Arabidopsis thaliana: one gene and its partners. The protein of the gene in region 3 purifies or fractionates together with the protein of the main gene of each other region. This does not show direct contact. Each region holds a gene or a part of one and is shown on either strand. Other genes may lie near its edges.

The links.
Region 1: the proteins of RPT2b (region 3) and PBC2 fractionate together in Arabidopsis thaliana (co-fractionation; one large-scale study listed by BioGRID). This does not show direct contact.
Region 2: the proteins of RPT2b (region 3) and PAC1 fractionate together in Arabidopsis thaliana (co-fractionation; one large-scale study listed by BioGRID). This does not show direct contact.
Region 4: the proteins of RPT2b (region 3) and RPAC43 fractionate together in Arabidopsis thaliana (co-fractionation; one large-scale study listed by BioGRID). This does not show direct contact.

What each region holds. Positions count from the first base shown.
Region 1 is NC_003070.9:29,094,242-29,099,006, reverse strand, and holds PBC2 (20S proteasome beta subunit C2), read right to left. Parts: upstream 2,988-4,765; coding exon 2,982-2,987; intron 2,807-2,981; exon of another isoform or gene 2,674-2,806; coding exon of another isoform or gene 2,668-2,673; intron 2,556-2,667; coding exon 2,374-2,555; intron 2,275-2,373; coding exon 2,167-2,274; intron 2,049-2,166; coding exon 1,959-2,048; intron 1,640-1,958; coding exon 1,555-1,639; intron 1,198-1,554; coding exon 1,103-1,197; intron 951-1,102; coding exon 902-950; 3' UTR 557-901; downstream 1-556. Other genes in the region: AT1G77420 (alpha/beta-Hydrolases superfamily protein), read right to left, coding at 3,565-3,783, 3,871-3,969, 4,057-4,194, 4,355-4,485, 4,566-4,712. UniProt on the Arabidopsis thaliana protein: Non-catalytic component of the proteasome, a multicatalytic proteinase complex which is characterized by its ability to cleave peptides with Arg, Phe, Tyr, Leu, and Glu adjacent to the leaving group at neutral or slightly basic pH.
Region 2 is NC_003074.8:7,792,015-7,796,124, reverse strand, and holds PAC1 (20S proteasome alpha subunit C1), read left to right. Parts: upstream 1-1,862; 5' UTR 1,863-2,054; intron 2,055-2,543; 5' UTR 2,544-2,553; coding exon 2,554-3,306; 3' UTR 3,307-3,576; downstream 3,577-4,110. Other genes in the region: CWLP (cell wall-plasma membrane linker protein), read left to right, coding at 1-842; AT3G22104 (Phototropic-responsive NPH3 family protein), read right to left, coding at 3,946-4,110. UniProt on the Arabidopsis thaliana protein: The proteasome is a multicatalytic proteinase complex which is characterized by its ability to cleave peptides with Arg, Phe, Tyr, Leu, and Glu adjacent to the leaving group at neutral or slightly basic pH.
Region 3 is NC_003071.7:8,690,989-8,695,640, forward strand, and holds RPT2b (AAA-type ATPase family protein), read left to right. Parts: upstream 1-1,578; 5' UTR 1,579-1,747; coding exon 1,748-2,221; intron 2,222-2,301; coding exon 2,302-2,547; intron 2,548-2,949; coding exon 2,950-3,119; intron 3,120-3,223; coding exon 3,224-3,440; intron 3,441-3,531; coding exon 3,532-3,672; intron 3,673-3,765; coding exon 3,766-3,849; 3' UTR 3,850-4,123; downstream 4,124-4,652. Other genes in the region: LCV1 (uncharacterized protein), read right to left, coding at 94-191, 281-448, 531-640, 717-769, 1,118-1,246; AT2G20142 (Toll-Interleukin-Resistance (TIR) domain family protein), read left to right, coding at 4,399-4,652. UniProt on the Arabidopsis thaliana protein: The 26S protease is involved in the ATP-dependent degradation of ubiquitinated proteins. The regulatory (or ATPase) complex confers ATP dependency and substrate specificity to the 26S complex. Acts redundantly with RPT2A in the regulation of gametogenesis.
Region 4 is NC_003070.9:22,329,256-22,334,097, reverse strand, and holds RPAC43 (RNA polymerase I subunit 43), read right to left. Parts: upstream 3,205-4,842; 5' UTR 2,874-3,204; coding exon 2,715-2,873; intron 2,630-2,714; exon of another isoform or gene 2,504-2,629; intron 2,410-2,503; coding exon 2,224-2,409; intron 2,146-2,223; coding exon 2,016-2,145; intron 1,921-2,015; coding exon 1,840-1,920; intron 1,747-1,839; coding exon 1,559-1,746; intron 1,465-1,558; coding exon 1,369-1,464; intron 1,267-1,368; coding exon 1,173-1,266; intron 1,046-1,172; coding exon 926-1,045; intron 832-925; coding exon 728-831; 3' UTR 530-727; downstream 1-529. Other genes in the region: RALFL6 (RALF-like 6), read right to left, coding at 1-182.

The DNA of each region.
Region 1 (4,765 bases), on a different chromosome or scaffold from region 3:
TGTTAGTTCTGCCGCTTTTTATTGTGGCGGGTTGAATTTGATAAAAAGCTCAAAAGTGACCGAAGAGTTTAGACACGTGACATGATGTGGATGGTTCATAATCAAAATGATTAGACGCATGAATTTACGAGCATCGATAATGATTGCCCAAGTAGAACCTTTATATGCTTTGCCCACACAGGTAGTATATGAATACCCACCGAGATTAGTTAGGTCGGCAGGATTGGGTTTATATTCGTGTAACGACCACATCTATTGCACATGCCACGTTTTATATGAAATCATCAAAACGCTTATGCGTATGGATTTTGCCTCTCTGGCTCGATCTAACGCCACAAACAGAACAGGACATGCAAAATCATTCACAATGTCAGATGGCAGCATCAGGATCATCATCATAATAGTTTGATTCGTTTCTATTTGCAGTTACTAGTGATCACCTTCCAAATTACATTGATTTCATAGTTATTGTATGATTTCGTTAGCCAAACCATGTTTATTGATAGTTGACCAAAATATTTCGTTGACATGTTAACGTCTTTCTAAAGTCACCCATAGTGAATCGAACATGAACACTAAGAAGACAAACAACAAAACGTGTCACTGATCAGTACCAACCTTGAAAACTAAAGACTGCGACAAACCAGAAATCTGGAACACTTGGTACGAAATTAAAACAGAAACAACAAGGTACATAGAATGATCGAGTACTGGAACAAGATAACAACTGCTATTTCTTCATTTTCATTGAACTCTATCAATAGCAAATAAAACATCCGAGAGAACGAACCACAATATCCAGTTTCAGAGAAGGAACATAGTTACTATGGGACGAGAGCTTCTACATAACCGGGTTAAGGAGTATACCGAACTTGGACAAAAGCAGATATGTGATATCAGATCAATCCATCCTTCCCTTCAGGATTCTCTCCTTCACCTCCTTTGGTGTTCTGGACAACATGACCATGAAAGAATGTTACTATCTTATATAATACATATCCTTAGAAGATAAGTGCACATGAGGTATATTCTGTAAGAAGCCAGATGTGACAGAAAAAAAGAAGAAGAAGAAGAAGAAGAAGATGAGGAGAACAAAACTTACACAACGTAGACATGTCCTCCCCACCCACTAAGACAATCGCGGTCAACTGAAGAGAGAAGTGCTTGTGAAATTGTCTCGAATAGTTCCTCAGCTTCCTGAAACTCAAATTTGTTAAGTCTAGTTATATGCTTTTCATTTCATCACGAGTCTGTTTACAATGCACTTCTTAGAATGATGACCTTGAAATTCAAACTTTATCGAAGCAGTACTATGGCAGGGAAGTAATCGCAATATTGAAACATCTTAATCCTAAGCCAAATTAAAATATACAGAGAAAATTATTGGAGTTACGTCATATATCACCAGCACTATGCACACAAATATTCCTACCAGATCAAGATTCTACAATAGAATACTTACATATGAATGATCCTACCAAATTTTCAGGTGATAAACACACATTTGAGTATCCAGTGAATCGGTACAAAAACAAGTTTTCAGAAGGCACATACCATATCTGGTTTGAACATGGCTTCACAGGCACCATATAGAGATTCTGAAGCAGTTCCCGAGACAACAAAATCTTTAGCTAACTCCCTGCATTTAGAGAGAACAAGCGTCAAGGCATGCTCACCATTGCAACTATCATGTTCGGTAAAATCTCAACTATATTAAGAATCATATTTAAATCAGCTCAACACATGTAAAATAAGTTCACTCATATGACATGCATACACTGCATTGGATGACAAAAGACCAAAATTAGATTCCAACTAAAACCAAAATATCAATCCACGATCATTTTCTAGCTGACCTAGCAAGTTTCACGATTACAGTCACTGACTAAGTAAATTAAATGGCATTACAGACGAAAAATGAGATATAACGTCTTAAGTAATGAAGAAAGCGAGCATACTTGGCTCCAATAGAATCCATAGTGCAAATGAAGGGTTTGTTATCATCTCCCAATCCAGCAATCACAGGTTGGCACAAGAATGGGCCAAATCTGAAATAAAGAATTTGGTACTTAGTAGTGGCAATGCCACATTAATCATAAGAAATCAGATTGTTAAGAGGAAACTAGAAACTAATAACAAATTGAGAGAAGAAGACATTTCACCAACCTTTTCTCATAAAGAATAGCCGATACAAGACTAGCGAAAGTTTCAGGCTTCATGTCTCTTTCTTCCCTAAGCTGATATAACTTATGACGAAATACGAGTCGCTGGTACCTTCAGTACCAAAGACAAAACAAAAAAAAACGGAGCCCTAAATTTTGTAATTCACCTAAAATTCTCTGAGGAAAGGAGTAAACATATACGAGAGCTTACAATGTCTGGACATCGGTGGCGAGACCGGAAAGTCCGATGAAGAGATGATCGTGGATCTTAGATATTCTCTGAAAATCGGTAGCAATGGTTTGTAATTGCACACCAAGCCTCCGATCACTAGCTATAGCGAAGCAATTCTTCCCTACCATAGCTACGACGGCACTTCCATTGTACTCGAAGATCTGAATCACCACAATGTCCACCGATTTTATCGTTCAATTCATACTATCAATCTTTGCGCAGAACAAACAAAAGTTAGAAATTGAAAAAAAGAATTCGGCAAGGAACACTTACCGACATCGGAAAATTAGGGTTTACTGAGTGAAGCTTCGGGAGTTTTCCTATCGGAGAAGAAATCTGAGCAAGAGAAGAACAATTATTAAAGTCGACGATGGCTTGGACGAAACTCTAGACAATTTTTTATTTTTTTTGGTTCTTATTGATGGGCCTCGATATTATTGGGCTTTCAGATGACTTTTATGTCTTTATTTTTTCTTGCTCTGCTTTTACTTTTTTACTACGAGATAAATTTTGCTTTGGTCATAAAAGTTGGGGAAACGTTTTTGTGCAGGCATGTCCTCAAACTCTACTTATTTGGTCACTGTCGCCGACATTATGCACTGCGACCTGCTCATGGTATTAGAAGTGATGGTTCGGTACATGGTTCACCAAGGGACTCGTTCACACGCCCCTATTCGCTGCAATGTTAGCTGAGTGCATTGTCGTGCAATGCATACCGGTCTTGTTTTCACCCAAAACCATGGTACATTTGGTATCTTCGGAAGTAATTACTTGGTGTTCACAGAGTTTTTCGGAGCTCCTGCTATGCAACTTTTCATATGTACGGTTTCCTCTGTCTGTGCTTTAGACCGGGCCTGTCCATTGACAAAATAACACTCAAATAGAACACAAGATTTCAAGGATCTGTCAGAGCAATATGGTTCAAATGAGATCAGTCATCAATTTGATTCTGAGCCTGACTTATGTGCACCCAAACAATACTAACTACACTTCGAAAGATGCGGCTGATGTAGCACTAGAAGCACTAGCTAAGCAAACAACGGCTAAGGTTGTGTATTCATTGTAAGCCACATATCTATTTTTTCTTCTTATCCGGATGTTTAATCACAGAGACTCGACAGTATTCAGAAGACAATAATAAGTATAGGTTTGTGGAGAGATGATCTCACTTTACTTGGGATCAACGCGGGCATCGAGCCAAGCAACGATGTCATTGATTACAGTGAAAATATTTTCGTCTGTATCACCTTCTAGAATGCAATGGTAGCCACCTGGATAGAGTTTTAGAGTCTTGTCTTGGCTGACTGCATGTTTGTGAAGGAATTTACTCACAGTGGGATCTGTGACTTTATCAGTGTCTCCATGAAGTATCAACAGTGGCAACGAGACCTGCAACATAGAAAAGAAAGATCTCGTTTTTTGCCCCTGTCTATGATGAGAAGAGCTTTCCTTTATTTCTTTGGTTCTACAACTAACCTTGTCAACTTGCATCTCAATGTCTCTTGTTGCATTTAGAAGTTCAACAGCAGTTTTGAGACGTGTTTGATCATCGTAGCATATCACATCGTACTCACACTTTATCCACAGAGAACAAAAACATCAAAGACAAAGTTAGCAAAAATGCTTCAGAAAATGTACCATTGAAAAACTAAGAGAAAGTACCAATTTTCTTTTACTCAGGTCCCTGAAGAAGAAGTCGCTCAAGTCTCTCTTTGGAAAGAGCTTTGCTTTGGGAAATAGTGTCGACATCAAGATTAACGTCTTCAAGACTAGTGGAGGAGGTTTTACATCTTCTGAAATCTTGAGACAACCCAAGGTCAGGTATTTCAAACATGAACTAACTAGATGTAAAATGTGAATACAGATACTTCCAAGCACTGAAAATCTTATTTGCAGATTTGAGAAACAAATCTCCAGACCTCAATTACATGCATAGAAAATGATATAGTTAGAGACTTACCTTACACATTGGAGCGACAAGGATAAGACCATCCCAAGCTTGAGGTTCTTTAAGATGAATTTTTAAGGCAACTGCTCCTCCCATTGACTGTCCCAGCAAAAACCGGGGCAAATTTCTCAATTCCGATCTCCCTAGGAATCAAACCACTTAAATAAAACCCAAAAGCAAGATTCAACACCAAAAAGCAATAACAGGTACAATTTAGATATACCTTTCATTTTGGTGAACTGTTCAATAGCATTGTCTGCTAAGTCATCAAAACTTGGAATGTGACCATGTAAACCATCTGATAAACCAAAACCAGGATGGTCTATAGCATAAACCCCATAACCAAAACCTGCTATTTGCTTTGCTATACCTGTAAAACAACCCAATTTTTTTCCCACATATATTAAAAGAAGAGCCTTTCAA
Region 2 (4,110 bases), on a different chromosome or scaffold from region 3:
CTAAACCACCGGCAGTAAAACCACCTACTCCAAAACCTCCCACCGTGAAACCCCATCCTAAACCACCAACCGTCAAACCCCATCCTAAACCACCAACCGTCAAACCCCACCCTAAGCCACCCACCGTCAAACCACCCCACCCTAAACCACCCACCAAACCTCACCCCCACCCAAAACCTCCCATCGTAAAGCCACCAACCAAGCCTCCTCCGTCCACCCCTAAACCTCCCACCAAACCTCCCCCGTCCACACCTAAACCTCCCACGACCAAGCCTCCTCCGTCTACTCCGAAACCACCCCACCACAAGCCTCCGCCTACACCATGCCCACCACCAACACCAACGCCGACTCCACCAGTTGTAACACCGCCAACACCAACCCCACCCGTCATAACTCCACCAACACCAACCCCACCCGTCGTAACACCGCCAACGCCAACTCCACCCGTCATTACACCACCAACACCAACTCCACCCGTCATTACACCACCAACACCAACACCACCCGTCGTGACACCTCCAACACCAACACCACCCGTAGTAACACCACCAACACCAACTCCTCCTACGCCTATTCCAGAGACTTGCCCAATTGACACGCTGAAGCTAGGCGCTTGTGTGGACGTTCTTGGAGGTTTGATTCACATCGGACTTGGAAAAAGCCACGCCAAGGCAGAATGTTGTCCGGTTTTAGGAGGTTTACTTGACCTAGACGCAGCCGTTTGTCTATGTACCACCATTAAGCTCAAACTTCTCAACATCGACCTTGTTCTCCCCATTGCTCTTGAGCTTCTTCTCGACTGTGGAAAAACTCCACCATCTGACTTCAAATGTCCCGCTTAATCGATGTAGAACGTTGAGAGTCTCTGGACGACTCCAAAAGTTTCGTTTCTTCAAGAAATTTGTTAGTTTCATGATCTATTTGGTAATGGGAGGTTAATCTGCATATGTGCGACCTTTAGTTACATGTTTCATTTGATACAATAAAAGGCGTTGTAATTTGGGTTTGAGATTTCAATTTCTTTGGGCTTTCTTGTTATGTTGTACTTTTAAGAAGAAGAAAAAAAAACTGTTAAACGATATAACTTTTTTTTTAATATGAACAAGTTTGTATCTGTCTAATTTGTTTTTATGTACATACGTACGTTTTGGAGTAGAAAAAATGTGATTTTTGTAGCCATGGCCCATGCGCATTGCACTGATGCATATGCGCCTCACAGCGCAGCTACTGACCAAGAACATGTGTATAAATTTAGTTATACTGTATACACGTATACTCTTGCTAAAAAAAAATTATCTATCACATTTTTTTTTGTCCAAACATTTGATAAAAAAGATATATGATAAGATTACAAAATTTTGATTTGTTTATGAAGATTTCAAGAAAATAAGTAAGCCCCTAATATTTTAGAGTGTGTTATTAGTTATCTTGTTAGTGACAATTGTTTATCATACATTACAAGAGATATATCTATGTATTTTCTTATACAAATAACATACATTGTGTGTTACTACGTACCAGGGATTTAACAAAACATTTAGTTTGTAAATACTACATTTTTACTTTTCTTTTAACATCGTGAATATATATAACATTACATTCTTATTATGATTTATGAAATAGGTGCACATTTAAATGTTTTTTCTAAAAGGGATATTCTTACTGATATGTGTATATAAATACATCCACGTAAAATGAATCTAGCTTTTTTTTTTGTCAGAAATGAATCTAGTTTATATTTCTATACACATATCAGTAAAAAAAAAAAAAAAAAAAAAAAATCAGCATATGACAACAAAAATTAAGATATATCAGAGATTCCGAGTTATGGATCTTGCATTGGGCTTGATTATATAATTTGGGCCTTTTCTTATCCATAAATTACACTTTTGGGCCTAATCTGTAAAGCACAAAAAAAAAACACCTTTTTTTTTTCTTTTCTTTCTGGCTTGTCGAACAGTTCACATCTCAGAGCTCATAAATTTTGTGGAGAGCAAAGTTCTCAGCAAAATCAAAGAAGAACCGAACGAGAGAGAGAAACGAATTCTTCTCAGGTATTCTCTTAAATCCAATGTCTTTCATTCTCCTACTTGTTCCTAGAATTTTCAGAATCTGTGTATCTTCCTTTCCTGTTTAATTTTGCTGGATCTGTCTTGAGCGAAGTGTTTTCTTATGAAATCTTCAAACTTTTGATAGAATTTTATAAACCCTAGCTAGATTCGATTCTGGGTGATGTTTAGTTTTTAGGTGTTTTTATATGGGCATCAGTGATTGTTGAATTATCTTTCGATTTTTCTCTTCGCTCCTGTGATTGTGACTTTAGGTTTGTGTTGATCTCAAAGTAACATAGATTTATAAAGCTAGTTCATTTCCTTTCTATTGAAGAAACTTGACCTAGTTTTAGTCTAGTTTTTAATCTGAATCAATTGTGTTTGTTGATCGTTGTGATGTCGAAAACCCTAGTTTTCGTGTTTTCGGAACTTGCCCTGTGTCTAATGGAGTATGAATTAGTTGTGTAGACCAATGCATTTGTTGTGGTGCAGGTGTTAAAGAATGTCTCGGAGATATGATAGCCGTACCACAATCTTCTCGCCAGAAGGTCGTCTTTACCAGGTAGAGTATGCTATGGAGGCCATTGGAAACGCCGGTTCTGCGATTGGAATCTTATCCAAAGACGGTGTTGTGTTGATCGGTGAGAAGAAAGTCACCTCAAAGCTTCTTCAAACCTCAACCTCTGCTGAGAAAATGTACAAGATTGATGACCATGTTGCCTGTGCTGTTGCTGGTATAATGTCTGATGCTAACATACTTATCAACACGGCTCGAGTTCAAGCTCAACGTTACACCTTCATGTACCAAGAGCCCATGCCGGTTGAGCAGCTGGTTCAATCTCTTTGTGACACAAAACAAGGATACACACAGTTTGGTGGTCTTCGCCCGTTTGGTGTCTCCTTTCTCTTTGCAGGATGGGACAAGCACCATGGTTTCCAGCTTTATATGAGTGACCCGAGTGGGAACTATGGTGGTTGGAAAGCTGCAGCTGTTGGAGCAAACAATCAGGCGGCTCAGTCTATCCTGAAACAAGACTACAAGGACGATGCAACCAGGGAAGAAGCAGTCGAGCTTGCCTTGAAGGTTCTGACCAAGACAATGGACAGCACTAGCTTAACATCTGAGAAGCTAGAGCTTGCTGAAGTGTATCTGACTCCATCCAAGACTGTTAAGTACCATGTTCACTCACCTGAGTCGCTCACCAAACTGTTGGTCAAGCACGGTGTGACTCAACCCGCTGCTGAAACATCTTAAGCCCAAAAGTATCTCTAGTCTTATTCGCCTGGTACGGTGTCTCCGCTTTATGTTTGTAGTTCTCTGTTTTACAGCTTTCCTTTTGGTTTGAACTTTGAAGTTACCTTTGGCGATGAAACTAGATTTGACAATGTTATGAATTTATCTTCAATGCATCATCTTTTTACTAATGTCGATCAAAGGAACAGATATATTTTATTCTTATCTCTTTAGATTAGTCTGAATTTCTTCAATTCATGACTTGAATACTAAGCATTCTACTTGTCGCGCAAAGTTTTACACGTAACGGCCTCGTCAAAAAGAACTGTTTTATCTTCTAAGTAAACGCAATTACACGTTGAGAATCTTGGAATCACAAAAGAGTAACGTTTAAGGAAGAATAGAATCAAAATTCTAGATTTTTGTTTTGCATTCTTGGTATTAATCTCACAAGAAAATTTTATAGATTTAAGTTTGTATCATCTCCATAAAAACGAATTTATCTTTACTTTTCATTACGCACAACTTTGTGACAAAGAAAACAACACAAGAAAAGATAAATACTCTGAAACATAAGAACCAAATGGTAACTATAATTGACTCCTTATGCTCTCTATCACTCTATGTACAAATATGATCGTAAGCTTACAGCTTCACTAATCAAGAACAGAGCTTAGGAAGTGATCTATTACTTCCTTTGCTCGAGCTCTTGGATCTCTTCTTGATAACTTCCATTTGATTCTGCATTTTCAAACAAGCTCTCTCCAATTCCATTACCCTCCATTGAATCCCTTCGATATGTTCCTTCAGCTTCTCGTTTTCTCC
Region 3 (4,652 bases):
TATGGTAAACCATATAACTCGAAATTGTTTGTATCCTCAAGGAGACGTTCTGGAAAGAATAACAAAATCCTTGAGCAAAGTATTTTCACTCACCTGGAGAACAACAGTTGATGTAATGAAGCCAAATGCATATTCACCTACACGGGGATGCCTGATGATTGCAACTTCCTTGAAAGCTTGTGTATTTTGATCTGTGATGAGAAATGGATAAGAACAAGATGAGATAGGAGATCAACTTAATGTTGAGAAGCAAAACAAGATTTTTATAAGCAAGCTAGACCAGGCGATATGGCAGTGCTGATTTGCTTGGAGGCGTTGTAGATGTGACGAACAAATGGCATCCGCTTGATAAACCACTCTCCCAAGTTCAGAACCGATGCCCCCAACCACGAAGACATGAACACCCCAACCAAGAAGATGAATGCAATGGAAGTCAAAAAACCGAAACCTACAAAACAATAATCAAACTCATTGTGGGAAACCGATATCAAGTTGTTAATAGGATAAAGAGGGGCCATTCAAATTCTTACCAAATATGTTGATTCCAAGTAGTGCATATATTGGAGAGAAGAATCCATCGACAAAGTGAATAAACCACCATGTTGTATAGAAAGTAACTGCAATAGGAAGTAGGATAACACTGCAAAAAGCAATGGAGACTTAAAACTAATCTGTGGAAGTTTTCATCAAATGCCAAAATTTCAACTCTTCCTTACCAGCCTGTCATGAACTTCTTTGACGCCCAACCCCTAATGAACAAGCTTAAAGTCTGCAGAAAAGAGCTAAAGCATCAGGCCACAATGCTCTATAAGTTATACATGCTTGAAAACATGAATGAGCATAATACAAAGACTCAAGAATCTGAATGATTCCAACCACAACAACTTGGAATGCAAATTCATACTCTACTCAATCACAACTACCAAACTTATCTAAGCAAGTGTTCTTGTGATATACTGAATCTAGGGCAAAACAAGTTCCAAGATTTTGAACTAAGGGGAGACAGAATCGACCAAATCTATGAATAACTATCATCCAATTCTACTGTTAGTTTCGCATGAATCTTGAAATGAGAAAACGAAGAACACGTTTTTAGATCAGGTGACAAAAACTAGACCTCGTGGCCGGATTGATGCGAAGAAGAAGCAGAGGAAGAAGAAGAAGGCTTCGAAGAAGAACCATCGTCTTTGTCGCCGAAATCAGCGACGGGAATCAGAAGCTCTCGATCTCTTTCTCGATTGGCCATAACAATTGTCGTGTAAAGAGAGATAAAACCCTAAACCTAGAAACTCACCGAGAGTTCGAAGATTGTAAATCACAATCTAGAAGCTAGTTGCGAAACAGAAGAACCACCTCGAAGATCCTGAGATTTGATGATGATGATTGTGATGATGATGAATGACAGATAGAGAAGACGATGAAATTGATTTTTGATTCGATTTCCCCAAATGGCAAAAGAAAAGTTCCTTACCTGTACCGATTGACCGTACCAACTACCAAACCAACGAATTGACTTTTACAAAACTTAAACCGAAATTAAAGATAATTAAACCGAGTTATTGAACTAAACCAGATAATAGCTTAGGTTGAATCAGTTTTAAAAAAATTTGCGATACCTAAGGCCCACTAAGTTTTTCACATCGTAAAAAGGCCTAAAATAATAAGCCCACTTTAATCATCTCCTCCCGTTATCAGATTAAAAGATTTGTTTCTCCGAGAGCAAGAAACCTCAGAGAGACGAAGCACAATGGGTCAAGGACCTTCCGGCGGATTGAATCGGCAAGGAGATCGGAAACCAGATGGTGGAGAGAAGAAGGAGAAGAAGTTCGAACCAGCCGCACCACCTGCTCGTGTAGGGAGGAAGCAACGGAAGCAGAAAGGACCTGAAGCGGCGGCGAGATTGCCGACGGTGACTCCTTCTACTAAATGTAAGCTTCGATTGCTGAAATTGGAGCGAATCAAGGACTATTTGCTTATGGAGGAAGAGTTCGTAGCGAATCAGGAGAGATTGAAACCTCAGGAAGAGAAAGCTGAGGAAGATAGATCTAAAGTTGATGATCTTCGTGGTACACCTATGAGTGTTGGCAATCTTGAAGAGCTTATTGATGAGAATCACGCCATTGTTTCTTCTTCGGTTGGTCCTGAGTACTACGTTGGCATTTTGTCTTTCGTTGATAAGGATCAGCTTGAACCTGGCTGCTCTATTTTGATGCATAACAAGGTATTGAGTTTTACAATGCTCTTCCATGGAAACGTTGAACCAATTCTTCTATGTGATATTTTTTATTATTTTTGTGATAGGTACTCTCTGTTGTTGGGATTCTTCAAGATGAAGTGGATCCAATGGTGTCTGTGATGAAAGTGGAGAAGGCTCCTTTGGAGTCATATGCTGACATTGGAGGTTTAGAAGCTCAGATTCAGGAGATTAAGGAAGCTGTTGAGTTACCTTTAACACATCCCGAGCTGTATGAAGATATTGGAATTAAGCCACCAAAAGGTGTGATCTTGTATGGTGAGCCAGGCACTGGGAAGACATTGCTTGCTAAGGTTCGTCTTTTAGCCTATAGTGTATCCATTATATAATAAGCTTTCTAGTTGTTAATTGCTTAATACAGCACATAATGGTACTTCCCAAGTATGATTGGTTTTATGTCAAGTCATGCATGCAAAATTTTCTGTCTTTTATCAATCTTCACTAGAAAGATGAATTAGTCAGGACAGTGGCTTCTTTGGTTTGATCACCTAGAATTGAGATATTAGATCATAGTACTTGTGTAGATAGAGGAAGATTTTCAGAGTCACGTGGATTGATTTAATGTCTTCGTTTTCTTTTTGTCTATGTCGCAAGCATGGATTGTTGCAGTGTGCCTCTTTTTAATGTGTCTCTTATGCTTGTTAAATTCGGAACTGTTGGAGATGAGCAAGTGTTATTTCTTGTTATTCTTTCAGGCAGTGGCAAATTCTACTTCAGCTACTTTCTTGCGTGTTGTCGGTAGTGAACTGATTCAGAAGTATTTAGGAGATGGTCCCAAGCTTGTGAGGGAACTTTTCAGGGTTGCTGATGACCTTTCTCCTTCTATTGTTTTCATAGACGAGATTGATGCTGTTGGCACCAAGCGGTATGCCTAAATACAACATAAACATGATCCATTGATAAACAATGTTCTTGATTTTGCTCAAGAGATGGTATCTAATATGTGATATAAAATGGTGGTTGAAACAGGTATGACGCAAACTCAGGTGGGGAACGTGAAATCCAAAGAACCATGTTGGAACTACTGAACCAGCTTGATGGGTTTGATTCAAGAGGAGATGTTAAGGTTATTCTCGCGACAAACAGGATCGAGAGTCTTGACCCGGCACTTCTTAGACCAGGCCGGATCGACAGGAAAATCGAATTCCCTCTTCCAGATATCAAAACAAGAAGACGTATCTTCCAGGTTCCACAACTGGTGATCCTTAAGTTTTCTTTCTTTTTTTGTGAATTTTCTAGAAAGATCTGATCGGTTTTTAATTGCATGCCATTATTAGATACACACATCAAAGATGACTTTGGCTGAAGATGTGAACTTAGAAGAGTTTGTAATGACAAAAGACGAGTTCTCAGGAGCTGATATAAAGGCAATATGCACAGAAGCTGGTCTGCTTGCTCTTAGAGAGCGTCGGATGAAAGTAAGGATTCTCTGGCTTCTCACCACTTGATTCATCGAACGCAATCTTTGAATAATTTTACTTTAACCTTTGTTTGGTCTTCTATTGGTTTAGGTGACGCATGTGGACTTCAAGAAGGCGAAGGAGAAGGTTATGTTCAAGAAGAAAGAAGGAGTTCCTGAAGGTCTTTACATGTGAATGATGCACAACGACTGGTTTCAATCTCTTTTTTCGAGTTTGCTCTCTTTTTCTCCGTTTTTCTGTTTTCACTCTCTGCTTAGATTTTTTTTTCTGATCATATAAAATCGTTTGCCCATTATTAATCTGCTTCCAAATTAGCAATTTATTAGTTTGCTTTCTTCAGAACAACCTCATAGATTTATTCATTTGAAATTTCCATCATTTTTACTTTGCGGTTACGAATATATAGTCCAATTTCCAAGTCTAAGCTTATGTGGGTTATTTTACATTATTGTTTGAACTTATTTCTGAAGCTTGGAGATATTTAAAGTCAACATAAGTAGCTGTCGATATTTGTCGACAGGCTGTCTGAATCAAATATAAAATACATACACTTCCAAGAAACTACGAAGAAAGTTTCAAAATTGCAATAGAAAAAGAGGATTGAAGTCGTGTGTTTTTGTACTTTAGTAAAGATAATAATTTCTAGGAAATTGCAAAGAAAGTTATAAAGAACTATAAAGATGAAAACAGAAGAAAGGAAAGTGGTATGACAAAAATAAGGAAATGAATTCAAGTCCTAAAATGAAACACGATGTGTTCATAAGTTTCAGGAGCAAAGACACTCGTGACAACTTCGTAAGCCATCTCTGTGGCTGTCTACGTAGGAAACGGATCAAAACCTTCTTGTATGACGAACTACCAGCTGACGAGAGGTATGAAGAGTCGTTAAAAGCAATTGAAGTATCGAAAATTTCAGTCATTGTGTTCTCGGAAAACTTTGGGGATTCGAGATGGTGTTTAGATGAAGTTGTAGCCAT
Region 4 (4,842 bases), on a different chromosome or scaffold from region 3:
GAGTATGCTGGAATTTTGACACATTCTTTGGGATTCTTACTGCTGCAACCTGGAATTATGTCTCCTTTCATACCATTATAGTTTATATATGTTTGTCCTTCTCCAAATCCGCTGAACAATGATAATATAATCATTACTGAAACAAAGAAAATGCGGATATGACTCTTTTTGTGTGCAGCCATTGTTTTTTGAGAAAACAAAAACAATGTAATTGAAACTTCTTGATATTTTTCTGTGTTATTATATTTTTGTAGTTTGAATACGTGATTAATTATTAATTTGTGTTTCTTTGATTTATAATGAGAAGGATGATTCTAAAAAAAAGACGGCCAGTGCATAATGTATGTGCTGATAGAGTTTCGTGGCTATTTATATGTCATTTACAGTTTTTTCGGTTAATATGTTCGGTTGGTTTCTAGCATGGCAGCAAATTTATCGGCCACAACAAGACTTTCGTGAATATCTGTGTTGTCGTTAGTGTTTGTTTGTTTCGTTGTTGTAAAAATTGATCTGTTCTGTTGTTTCTTCACTCTGTTCAGTGCTTGATGAATGTGTACGTACGTACATCCATCTACTCTTCAACGTTCACATGTATATTCTAAATTTGAACCGAGCCGAAACCAAGTATATATAAATTTCAATGTTCTTTGTATTAACTTCGATACAAAACCCAAAACTGAACTAAACCGGAACCAAGCCGGTAGAGCTAAACCAATTTAATCTCTTTTCAGGAGAGTTCAGAGATTACTCTTTCACATTTATCTTCCAATATCTTCACTGCTTCGTTGAAAAGAACCTCCGGAGGCTGTGATCCCGTGGACTCAATTGTAACTGCGAAAGATGATAAGAAACTCAATTAGAATCTCTTTCAGTACCATGGAATTGCCAGGTTGAAGGAACTGTGTTTTTCTTTTTCTTTTCTTACATATAAAATGGTTCTTGACACGGCGCAGATCCACTTGGTCCTCCCATTCCACTCCATCTCTTATGCATTCTCTACACAACGAACAATCACGCGGCCGAGCTACTGTTGCCCTCTTCCTACCTGTTTTCCACGTTTGCAAGTCAAATTAATTTGCCGCCAAAGTTCTCAGGTTTCATCAGAATCTCTTATTGTTACTCAAAAGCAAGTAAAGACATTTGAAGGAAACTTGGGAAGGCTTTTACTTCACCTTGGCCCATGTCTTCAATGTCAAAAACTTTCTTGGGGCAGACTTTTACGAGTTCTTCGGCATGTTTACCCTCGAATTCCTTTAGTAGAACCACCTAAGATATTATAAACAAAAAGCATTACCGGAAAAGCCTAGGACGAGTCAAGAAGAAATTAATTAAGTCCTTTTCCCAGAAGGCTTATGGTGAACTTCTCACCTCAGGAAGCATTCGATACCAAGCCGTTGCTACTGGGGACCACTTTGCATGTGTTTTACCAATGCCCTTAACGGCATGAGCCTCAAGCTCGATTTCCTGCAAGAAGAAGATGCAAGTCTTTCATCTCTCAACGGAATTAAGTCCTCAAAAATGTCACAATTAAGGGGAAGAGTATAAATAGAAACAGTACCTGGCCAGGGCCAAGTTTTGCTATCAAGATATCTTTTAAGGTTGGCCTGATAGGATTTTCAGCAAATTCAGGGAAGGAATCTTGGCTATGGTTGAATGAAGTGTAAGTTTTTGGCGTTGTGGTTGAACCTCCAGATTCTTTGATAAGCTCACTTCCATTTGGTAACCATTTCAATTCGCTTGTTAAGACTTCAAGAAATAAAAAAATGATACCTCTCATGAGATCTCGAGCTAACAATAAAACAAAGACTCTTCTTGAGCAAACCAAAGAACATATATTACCTTTACGACGCGGGTCACCTTTTAGACATTTCACATGGAGTTTGAAAACAATGGTGTTCTTTTCATTTGGCTGATCGTTTTCTATGACACAAAGATAAACAACAACAAAACTAAGCGTGACACAAAGAGTTTATATGCTTAATGAGATGGATCACATTCCACAGAATATTTCTTACCAGATAAATATTCAAAGAGTCTCGGATCTGCGGCAATTGGAATAAGACCCAACCTGTGAGCAAGAACTTCGTCTTGAATAACCGATGTGTTGTTTGCTACATACACTTTTTCAATAGCCATTGAAGGAAGCTGTAATCAAAGAAACACTATTAACCAAAGATTCTAATAATCAGAGATTCATCAGAGGTAGTGAGACAGTGGGCAGACCTCAGCTAAGAGGATTCTTCGGAAAGCATTAGCGATTCCTGCATGGACACCGATCATATCGAATACCATATCTGTCTCTGTGAGACTAATCACATCAACTTTGAAATCCTCAGAGAAGTTTTCTAGTCTCACACTGTTGTCCACTCCCATAGAGGAATAGGCACCCGAGAAAGTGATAGCCGTAGGCTACAATAAAACACAAAAAGAAAGGGAAGAACATTAAAGACTTCAAATTTCAAACAATCATCACTCAATATCATTCGGATTTCGACAAACCCACAGTGTAATCTTCTTAAATTGCTAAGACCAAACTCAGTAAATTCACAGCTTTCTACAAGCAAGTTTTAAACTTTACTCTGTAAATCTACACGAAATCGATGAACATAGCAAACCCACATGGGACACACTGAGAAAAGCCAATAAATTTCTAGTTAGCTGAACTTATACATAGCTTAAAAAGAGTGTAAATTTTGATCGAGAATAGTACTTACATGAATATTAGAATCCTTCTTACAGACAACGCGAGTTCGCTGGAGCTCAAGATGCGGAGGAAGTCCGGTAGGAACGTCAGGGAGATCAAATATGTTGAAGTTCTTCGCTTCTCTCTTTTCTTCATCAGTCACAATCCTTGTTACTTCGTTAGTCCCCATCCTTCTCTGCAGCCAAGTTCGATTGTGAGAATCCGAAATCAGGGTTTAAGGAGAAGAGGAAGATGAAAATTGCACGATTTCACTTTTCACTTCAATTTCGTTCTTCAATTTCATAAAACTGGAAAATTAGGGTTTATGGACACGTGTGAATACTAGAAAAAAAAACATCCATTTTTCTAATAGCGGCATGGCTTAAGTCCGAACCGAAGCGGCTGAACCGTCCAACCGGAGTTTGGTTGATTTCTGACTTTTAAAATTTTCGTTACCACCAAACCGAAATTCTAATCTTAAGTCCGAACCAAATCGACATTTTTTTATTTTTTAATTAACCACATATTAGTTAAAAGATAATTATATGATTGGTCGCCGAATATGGAAAAAAAATCTACAAAACAAATTTGAGAAAACAGTAAACGAAAAGAACGAACTAAACAATCTGTCTTATAATTAAACAAATGAGATATATAGAAAATCATGAAACGAGAAATATAACATTCGACATTTTGTTTGATTTTCTACTATATAACTTTTCCAAATATAAGTAGAAATGTCGATTTCTAAACAAACCCGATCTGAATAATCATATTCTCCAAATTTAGTTATGGCAGTTCAAACCCATAATGGTGAAGGTTCTCACTCCAGTATTTTTTTTATTATAGCATACCAAGATAACCAGAAGAATGAGCCAAGAAACTAAACAAAACTAAAACCAAAACTAGTTCCAATCAACTCAAACACGAAAGTAGATAAATAACAAACCACATGTGATTTCAAATTTAGTTTAGTCTAATAAAAAACAAAAAGACTAAACCGGACGACCATACATTGGGTCCCTATCGTAAATTAGCAAACAAATTAGTGTTGCCCATTTTAAAAGTTTGAACTCTTCTTTATTTAAAAAAAGAAGAAGAAGAATTGAACTGGTCAGGAAGAAAAAAATAGAAAAGGAGAAAAAGGACAGAGGGAAAATGGAGAAAAGTAGAGTAAAATGGCGTCACACCAGAGAGAAGGCACAACTCACGGGGAAATCAGCAGAACCAATACCACCGCCACCGGTTACTATTACTATTCTTGTTATCATCATCTCCCAAAAAAAAAATGTTAGTATTATTTTCGAGTCTATTTTTCAAGTTTTTGTTTTGTTTTTAATATCTCGACTTTGCCACCCAACTCCTCCCACTCCTTCACAACTGTGTCCTGTCCTCTGCTGATTTCTCACCTTTCCATCATTCATTTCATTCTTTCTTTTTTCCCATCCGTTTCTTTTATTCTTCTTTCTCCTTAAATTTAAAATCTTTGAATTAAATTATTGGATTTTATTGTTTCAAAGCGTTTCTATCATCAAAACCCATCTTCTTCTTCTTAAGATTCTGAATCATTCATTGATTGATTTAGCTTCTCTTCGACTTCTTAATTTTACAGTTTTTTTTGTTTTTTAAACTTTAATTGATGCAAATAAGCAAACTTGGATCGCTGTGAGCCTGTGATAATGATTTCTTTTAGGTTTGTAGGATCTGAAGGAAGCTACGGTTTATTTTTTTTTATGGGCAATCTCTAACAGGTACAAATCTTCTCTTAGCTTCTCTCTTACAAGATCTTTAGGTTATGTCTTGTTCTTTGGAGTTGCTATCTTTCTTCCATGTTCCAGAGGTTTGCCTTATTTTATCACTTTTGACATAATAATTTATTTTGCCTGTTTTTTGTTACTTGGTTTAATATTCAGATGAATCTTTGACCATGATCTCTAAATTTGGTTCCTAGGCAAGATCAAAGAAAGTTCATCACATAGGAGTTGATCATGAACCATAGTTTCCTCAAAGATCTCAACTTTGTCTCTAGTTGGATTGTAATCTGTATTGCTTAGGACAGTTAAATCTTATTACATCTTGGCTCGTCATGTCAAAAGCTGAAGATATTTGAGCTTTCATATCTTACAACTAATTAGTTTCGTATGTCTACAGGTTTCTTA